Linked DNA regions of Oryctolagus cuniculus. The protein of the gene in region 1 binds, or shares a complex with, the protein of each later gene. Links are inferred from orthologs where the notes say so. Each region holds a gene or a part of one and is shown in the gene's direction. Other genes may lie near its edges.

Region 1 (4,432 bases):
TTCCCAAATTCATACAGATAAAAAGTGACAAAGCTCATTCACAACATGATTTGCCTCCCATATCAGGATTTCAGTTCCACATGCCTACTTGTCCTCCATTTGAAGTTTATATGTGTTGGTTTTATGGATCCTCAAAGGACAGAATGAATAGCAGAGCTCAGCGCAAATGAGATGACACATTAAATCAAAGTCTATAATGTTTTTAGGCATTTTTACTAGTCTTCATAAAAGAACTTATTGCTGAAATTACACCCTTTAATAATAAAGTATAAAAATAACACTGAACATTGGCAATATCTCCTATGATTAATACAGCTTACCTTTGAGTTATCTGTTTTCAAGACAGATGGCCTAAAAGTAATATTGGAATTAAAAGCTGATTTCAGGTTTCCCTCTTCCCTGCTCACAAAACACTGCAGTTATTCCATCAGCAATTGGGAATATTTATTTCCAGTGTTTATGGCTAAAAGATATTTTCATGCACAGAAATGAGAATTACTGCAGAATTAGTGTTGGTTTTTTACAAATAATATTCTTACTGTATTTACATTTTTTTTAATTGGAAGAGCTCACGGACTTAAAAGTGAATACAAATTTTTTTAATGTATCATTGTTCCTCGAGAACATTTTGTGGGCTACTCCAAGCGCAGAAGTTTATGTACTTCCTCCTGGAATGTCTACACTAGAAAACGGAATGAAATAAAACAAAATTTGTTGGGTTTAACAGCCTTCTTCTGAAAAGTATACGCCTATCTGGTATGTTCGCAGATGGAATGTATAATCATTCTGAAAGGGTCTTGGAGACCTCAGATGTGGATCAGTAATATCTTCAGTTGACTTTTTTGCATGTCACAATCTACCTAATTCTATGGAAGGATGCAAATGGAACATCTATTCTTAGAGAAACTGAAACAATGAAAAATAAAGGGAGCAGGTTTCTTCCACAAAGTTTATTTATTTATTTATTTATTTTCATAGAGATCCTTTCTATGAAAATAAATAAATAAATAAATAAATAAAGGATCTCTCTGGGTACAGACAGGTTTGTAGAGTTGGAAATTTCAAAGACATGATTGTCTTCTGTCAGATGAGGCGATGTAGAGGAAAGAGGATCTTGTGCCCCCTACCTCCAATAATTGTGGTGGGCCATAGAGATGGAAGGGCATTGGGGCTCAAGGGCTGTTAGAGTTATAGCGTGCCAGTGTCTTTCCTCGTAGATTAAAAAGAGAAACCGGCGCTGGAAAAATGGAGATCTATCAGCCCCCTCGTTTATGCTTCCCTGCTATCAAAAGTAGCTCTGTTCCTCTCTGGCCACCCCTCCCCTCCAGCTCCCTTCCAGCTCCGCCCGCCCTCGAGGTGTTTGCTCTCAAGAGCGCGAAGGGTGAGGACCAACTCCTCCGATTGCTTTGCGCAAAATCCACCTCCCCCCTCCTCCTCCCCTCCAGCCTGCGGAGCCCGCACCGCCTGCCTTGCCCTCCTCAGCCCTGTGGTGCCGGGTTGGGATGAGCCTCTGTGTACTACGAAGGTGGGAGGGGCCACCAGCAGAGGATAATGTCAGACGCTCCGCTGTCGCCTTTTGCCTGACGCTGCTTTTGGCTCCGCGAGGCTGGTCCCGGTAAGAAACCGCAAAGAGCTGCGGCCGCCGTGGCCAGAGCCAGTGGCTGAAGCGCCCAGAGTCCGAGTCCCAAGGCTCCCGACTAGCTGGCCTCCCGCTCCCCAGCGCCGTCAGCACCATGGACAGCAGCGCCGTCCCAGCGAGCGCAAGCAATTGCACTGATCCCTTTGCGCACTCCTCCAGTTGCTCCCCAGCACCCAGCCCCGGGTCCTGGGTCAATTTGTCCCACTTCGATAGCAACCTGTCCGACCCGTGTGGACCGAACCGCACCGAACTGGGCGGACGCGACGGCCTGTGCCCCCCGACCGGCAGTCCCTCCATGGTCACAGCCGTCACTATCATGGCCATCTACTCCATCGTGTGCGTGGTGGGTCTCTTCGGAAACTTCCTGGTCATGTACGTGATCATCAGGTAAGGAGGGCGCCAGGGCTGTGAACGGGGAGTTCAGCGGCTAAAAGGGCTCCCAAAAGGCCCTTGCATCCCAAGACTAAGCGTGTGGTTGGGGGCGACCCCAGATGGAGCGGTTGCTGTGTGTGTTTGTGGATGGGGAGCTACTTTTCTATTTTTTTTCTTCCACTGGTAAAGAAAAAATCCAAAAATTCAGGAACAGAGAAGCTGTTTTGATAAAAGGCATAAAGCTCTGGGGGTGAGAGTTGGGGGAAAATGCTTCATGTTGAAGCTCTCCCTTGTACAGAGACAAGAAAACTCTTGGCACAGAGTCCTACGGTGGCTCCCTTTGCAAGAGCTATGGCATCATAAGTTGTGAAGAATGGGGGAGGACGTTTAGGTGTGTTTTTTTCCGAATTGGGAGGCTGAGTCCACTCAGGTGGCAACTTTCCTACTTTTGCTGGTACAGGAGGACTTCTCTGTAGACAGCCCCACCCCTGATCTTCACGTGTACCTATTCCTGCTTCCACCCTAAGGCCACATGAGGCAGAGGAAGTTTTCCTGGTATCTCTCCCTGGTAATGTCACTTTGTTACCTCCACCCTTTGCAGTTGACAGCTGTGGTTCTGCTACAGCAATTGCAAGCTGCATCTTGAGTGGGTAGGGTGGTTCAGGAGAACAGAATTGTTTTTCAGTGTCTCCACACATTGGAACAGATGAAGAGTGACCCATCATAATTCTCCATTAGAAACTGTTACATAGGAAGTTGTCATAGGCACTCTGGGAAAAAGAAAATGTGTCTTTAGTAAAATTATTTCGAAAGAATTTATGGTTTACTGTCTGTTTCCCAGATGTTCCAGCTTCATTAGACAAGGGGTGAGCAAATTTTCAATATTGAATGAGATTGATGTTGTTTGTGTTGGTCTTGATATGTATACCAAACACATCATGTGAATGTGGAATACTAAATATTCACTTTTTAAGAAGTAAACAAATATTTTTAGCTGTTTAACATAGTTCCTTAGTAAGGCTTGTTTCTTCCCATTGGGGGTTGTAGGTATGCAGCCAATGTGTCATTTTCATATTTAGTTACAGTGTTTGCTTCACCTATTCAGCAAGTATTTCGCAGGTTTCAGTGGAGTACTTGAATCCTTTAACAAATAATCACTGTTCCCATTATGCTTTCCTTAGCAAAGTGCTGCAAATTGCTTGTAATTGACTTGTCCTATTTATATGCCTGATTTCTTTAATTAATGTTTGTTAAAAAGTAAAGCTAATTTCCCTGATACTTTGATAAGCAATAAAATAAGAAAGTGTCTCTGAGAAAAGAGCACCATCTATTGAGTGGACAGCTAACAACAGAAGGAAAATTTCAGGAAAAGAATCAATGAAAGAATTTATTTTAAAAAAAACTGCTTTCTGTAATTCAATAAAAAATTCATATCAGAGAAAAAACTAGTCTTATTCTGCAATTACGACAATAAAAAGTATAATTGAAGGTCTACTCTTAAAAAAGAAAATGTTTCTCATTTATCCCTTTAAAAATCACATAGACTGATAAAACTAGAATGACTACAGATTATCTTTGCTCTGTGAATAAAAGGTAAAGAAAATATAAATGATTCCTCTTAGATATCACTATGCTCATAAATGTGTATACATGAAATTTGTTCACTTTATATAAATAAAAAAGTTGAAAAAAGATACCACTGAACCAATCTTAGCTAGCATAATTTTCTGTTTGTTAAGATGACAAACCATGATTTAAATTAGCCAACTACTAGATTGACAGAGTAGATTTAGTCAGCAGTAATAATGATAGAACAATAAATTATCAAAAATGTATATCTATGGAATCCTGGAGCAAAAAACACGATATAAATTACTGAGACATCTATAAACTCCACCATCTGAATCATGATCTTTTATCCCCTTTCATTGCTTCTCCTTAGCATTTTACTCCCTCCCCCCACCCTCTAGTTTATTCTCTGCTATAAGGAGACATCCAATAGCACAGAAATAGGCTGTGAAATAAACAGATTGGCTTTATTCCAGTGTTTAAGAGGTTGTTACTTGGGTGAGTTTGTTTTAAAGGCATTACTTCTGGCTCCTTGTTGACTTGGAGAAACATGGTGACATTGCATCTTACTGAGAACGTGATATTATGCTTTCTTCTCTGTACTGAAAGTTCTGAAAAAAATGCAGTACTCTTTTAAATGTCACCCCAAACATCCACCTGTGGTAGGTTGAGTGTTTAATTCCAAGGTCAGATAACCCTCTGAGGATTTGACTGTGAAACAGAAAACTAGGCAGTTCAATGACAAATGATGTGATGGGAAGAGCATCTAAGGATGGAAGAAACTGTGTCAGTTTATCTGATATTATTTAACTGACTGCCTCCACTCCAAAGTTTTAACTATCAACTGATGAG
Region 2 (3,133 bases), on another chromosome or scaffold:
CGCAGGGGTCCCGCCTATCTTGTTTGCCTCTGCAGAGCCGCAGCCTGCCTGGAAGATGCTGAGGTCGGGGGCTCTGCTGCTGGCCGTGTTGCTTCAGGCCTCCATGGAAGTGCGTGGCTGGTGCCTGGAGAGCAGCCAGTGTCAGGAGCTCACCACGGAAAGCCACCTGCTGGTACGTGGGCCGTCACTGCCATCTTGACTTGGGCATCAGATGGGACTGGAGCCGCGACAGCTCAGAAGCAGCAGCGTGGGGAAGGGAAGTTCCTTCCCAGTGACAGGGCTGACCCAACCCGGCAGGAGCAGAACGAGCTTCGGGCTGTGCTGGGGCGGGGGCGGGGGCGGGAGGCGTGGTGGAAGCAGCTCCAGGGAGATGGGTCTGCCCCGCAGGTCCTGCTTGGTCATCCTTCCCCTCTGCCCTGTCTTCTTTGGACACTATTGATTGATTGATTGTTCATTTAGAGACAGTGTCCTAGTAATGTTAGCGGCTCCCTCAGTCCTGTATTTTAACCTCACAGTCTCTGCATTATTCTGTCTCCAAGAACCGCATGTTCCTTGCCATTTCCCCTTTGTATTTCTTCTCCTTTTATCTACTACCATTTACAAAGCTAGAGCGGTAGCTCTACGAAGGGTCTTTAGAGGGAGAAGGAAAAACCAAGGTACCCTTTTTTTGGGGTAACTGGTACCCGGTGTCTCACGCTGCTTCTGGAAGGCTGGCCTTCTGCTAAGCGCCTCTTTGATCTTTCCAGTAGTTACATGTGCTGGCAGGGGTGTGTGTGTGTGGGTGTGTGTGTGTGCGCGTGCGTGCACACGCTGGCACCTGCCAGTCGGGGGTGCAATGCACACTGCTGCATTGTGTTTCGTCTGTGGAGAAGCCGAGTGAAGGTGGAGTTAGGGCAGGCTGCACGTGTGACATAAAGCAGGGCAGGACGCCCGGGGGTCCGTGAGTTCCAGTCCCGAGAGACCAGGAGACAGCCCCGGGAGAGCTCACCCGGGGAAGGTGCCCCGGACGCACTCAGGGCCACCTGTGCTGCCTCACGCTGGGGGGCTCGGGCCTGCGCCTCCCGCTTCATGCCCGGTCCAGGGAGGGCGTTTGCCTCAGTTTTTATTTGCTACTGCTCCCGTCTGTGCATCCCGAATGGTAAATCCCTGGGGTGGGAAAGTCCGCTGAACCCAGACGTTTTGTTTTCTCCTCTGTAAGCTTTCAAGTGACAGAAATCTCCAGGCTGCAGCCATGCGGTCACCTTGCTAAGCAAAACGGACCACAGTCGAGCCCTCTGTGGACAGGGAGCAGAGGCCCGGGCTCCACGCGGCTCTCCCTCGGGCCAGAGAGAGGCGACAGGGAAGTGAGCCGCTCTGTGTCGGCAAGGGGATGGGGCCATCAGCTCCCTGAAAGCCAGGGGAAGGGCCTGGAGCAGGGATAGGGCTGGGGGGTACTGAGCACGCAGGACCCTCCCCCGCCAGACCCGCAATGCTCCCAGTCCTCCATTGCCCGGTATTTACGTAGTCATTGGTTCAGCAGTAAGTGCCACCCCCCAGCACCCTCCACCTGCCCTTCTGGGCAGTTCCTTTCAGGCAAAGCGTTGGCCTTGCCCACAAGAGCCACGGGCACAGGCCACCCACCGAGAGCGCGCTGGGCGTCGCCGGTGGTCGTCGGGGTGCGTGCCTGCTAGCGACACCGCGGCCACGCGCCCCGGGGGCACAGACCAGCCCCGCCAGTGGTCGCAGGGGTGTGTGCCTGCGAGCCACGCGCTGGTCGCGTCGCTGTCGCCGCGCCCGGGCTCACGGCCTCGCCCTCCCCGCAGCAGTGCCTCCGCGCTTGCCAGCTCGACCGCTCGGCCGAGACGCCCGTGTTCCCCGGCAACGGCGACGCGCAGCCGCTCACCGAGAGCCCCCGGAGGTACGTCATGGGCCACTTCCGCTGGGACCGCTTCGGCCGCCGGAACGGCAGCAGCGGCGGCGGCGCGGGGCAGAAGCGCGAGCAGGAGCAGGTCGCGGCGGCCGGGGACCGCGGCGATGGCGCCGAGCCCGGCCCGCGCGAGGGCAAGCGCTCCTACTCCATGGAGCACTTCCGCTGGGGCAAGCCGGTGGGCAAGAAGCGGCGCCCGGTGAAGGTGTACCCCAACGGCGCCGAGAACGAGTCGGCCGAGGCCTTCCCCGTCGAGGTCAAGCGCGAGCTGGCCGACGGCCCGGCCGAGGACGCGGACCCGGAGTACGGCCTGGTGGCGGCGGCCGAGAAGAAGGATGAGGGCCCCTACAGGATGGAGCACTTCCGCTGGGGCAGCCGGCCCAAGGACAAGCGCTACGGCGGCTTCATGTCGTCGGAGAAGGGCCAGACGCCGCTGGTGACGCTGTTCCGCAACGCCATCGTCAAGAACGCGCACAAGAAGGGCCCGTGAGCGCCGCCTCCCCGCGCCGCCTGTCCTTAGGAAATAAACCCGTTTTCCCATTTCACACCGCCTCCGGCTCTGAGTGTAGACCGCGAGCCGCGGCGCCGAGCCCAGCGCGCCCGGGGAGCCTGGCTGGTGGCCCCGGAGCCGCTCCGTGTCCACCCCACCCCCCTTGCCGGGTTCGCGCAAGCTGTGGACGCCCCCTGGGTCTGAGGCCTCCGTTTTCATCACTGGGGAGCTGAGTGTGGGTGTGGCCTCACGTCTCCCCTACACACACACACACACACACACACACATACACACACACACCTGTTGCAGGCCCTCCGACTCTCGCCCCCGGCTGGACTGGGCCCCTCCCTCCCTCCCCGGGCCTGGCTGCAGCCCTCATCCTCACTCCCCACCCGCCTCTAGTGGCTCTCCTGCCACACCCGTGCTACACAGATTCCTCAGAGCGATGTGCGCAAAAATCTGGTTTTCTCCACATCCGCTGGCTCAAGAACCAAAGAGCACCCCCACTTCCCAATTTCCCATCCATCCCCACCCCTGGGCATGGCACCCAGGGTGCCAGTCACTCTGCTCGCGCTCATTACCAAGGCGCCTGCCCCAAGGTACCCCGGATGAAGGCCCCGCTCCTCTCCCCACCAACTTCTTCCCTGCGGGGCTCCCGCACCTCCCCCTGCCATACTGAATGAGGCTGTTTGCCACCTGAGTCCAGGCTTAGGTCAGCCCCTGCCCGCCGAGTCCTG

The links.
Region 2: the proteins of OPRM1 (region 1) and POMC are in contact, whole or in part, in a cryo-EM structure (PDB 8F7Q), measured with the Homo sapiens proteins. The link is inferred for Oryctolagus cuniculus from reciprocal best matches to the Homo sapiens genes OPRM1 and POMC. Residues at the interface, in NP_000905.3 of Homo sapiens: Ser66, Met67, Ala70, Ile71, Met74, Gln126, Asn129, Tyr130, Leu131, Met132, Gly133, Trp135, Val145, Ile146, Asp149, Tyr150, Met153, Arg213, Ile217, Asp218, Cys219, Thr220, Glu231, Lys235, Val238, Ile298, Val302, Lys305, Trp320, Ile324; in NP_000930.1 of Homo sapiens: Tyr237, Gly238, Gly239, Phe240, Met241, Thr242, Ser243, Glu244, Lys245, Thr248, Pro249, Leu250, Val251, Leu253.

Annotation. Positions count from the first base shown.
Region 1 is NC_091436.1:13,656,036-13,660,467, reverse strand, and holds the start of OPRM1 (mu-type opioid receptor), read left to right. Parts: upstream 1-1,600; 5' UTR 1,601-1,733; coding exon 1,734-2,026; intron 2,027-4,432. UniProt on the Homo sapiens protein: Receptor for endogenous opioids such as beta-endorphin and endomorphin. Receptor for natural and synthetic opioids including morphine, heroin, DAMGO, fentanyl, etorphine, buprenorphin and methadone.
Region 2 is NC_091433.1:177,511,427-177,514,559, forward strand, and holds the end of POMC (pro-opiomelanocortin), read left to right. Parts: intron 1-5; 5' UTR 6-55; coding exon 56-172; intron 173-1,802; coding exon 1,803-2,396; 3' UTR 2,397-2,451; downstream 2,452-3,133.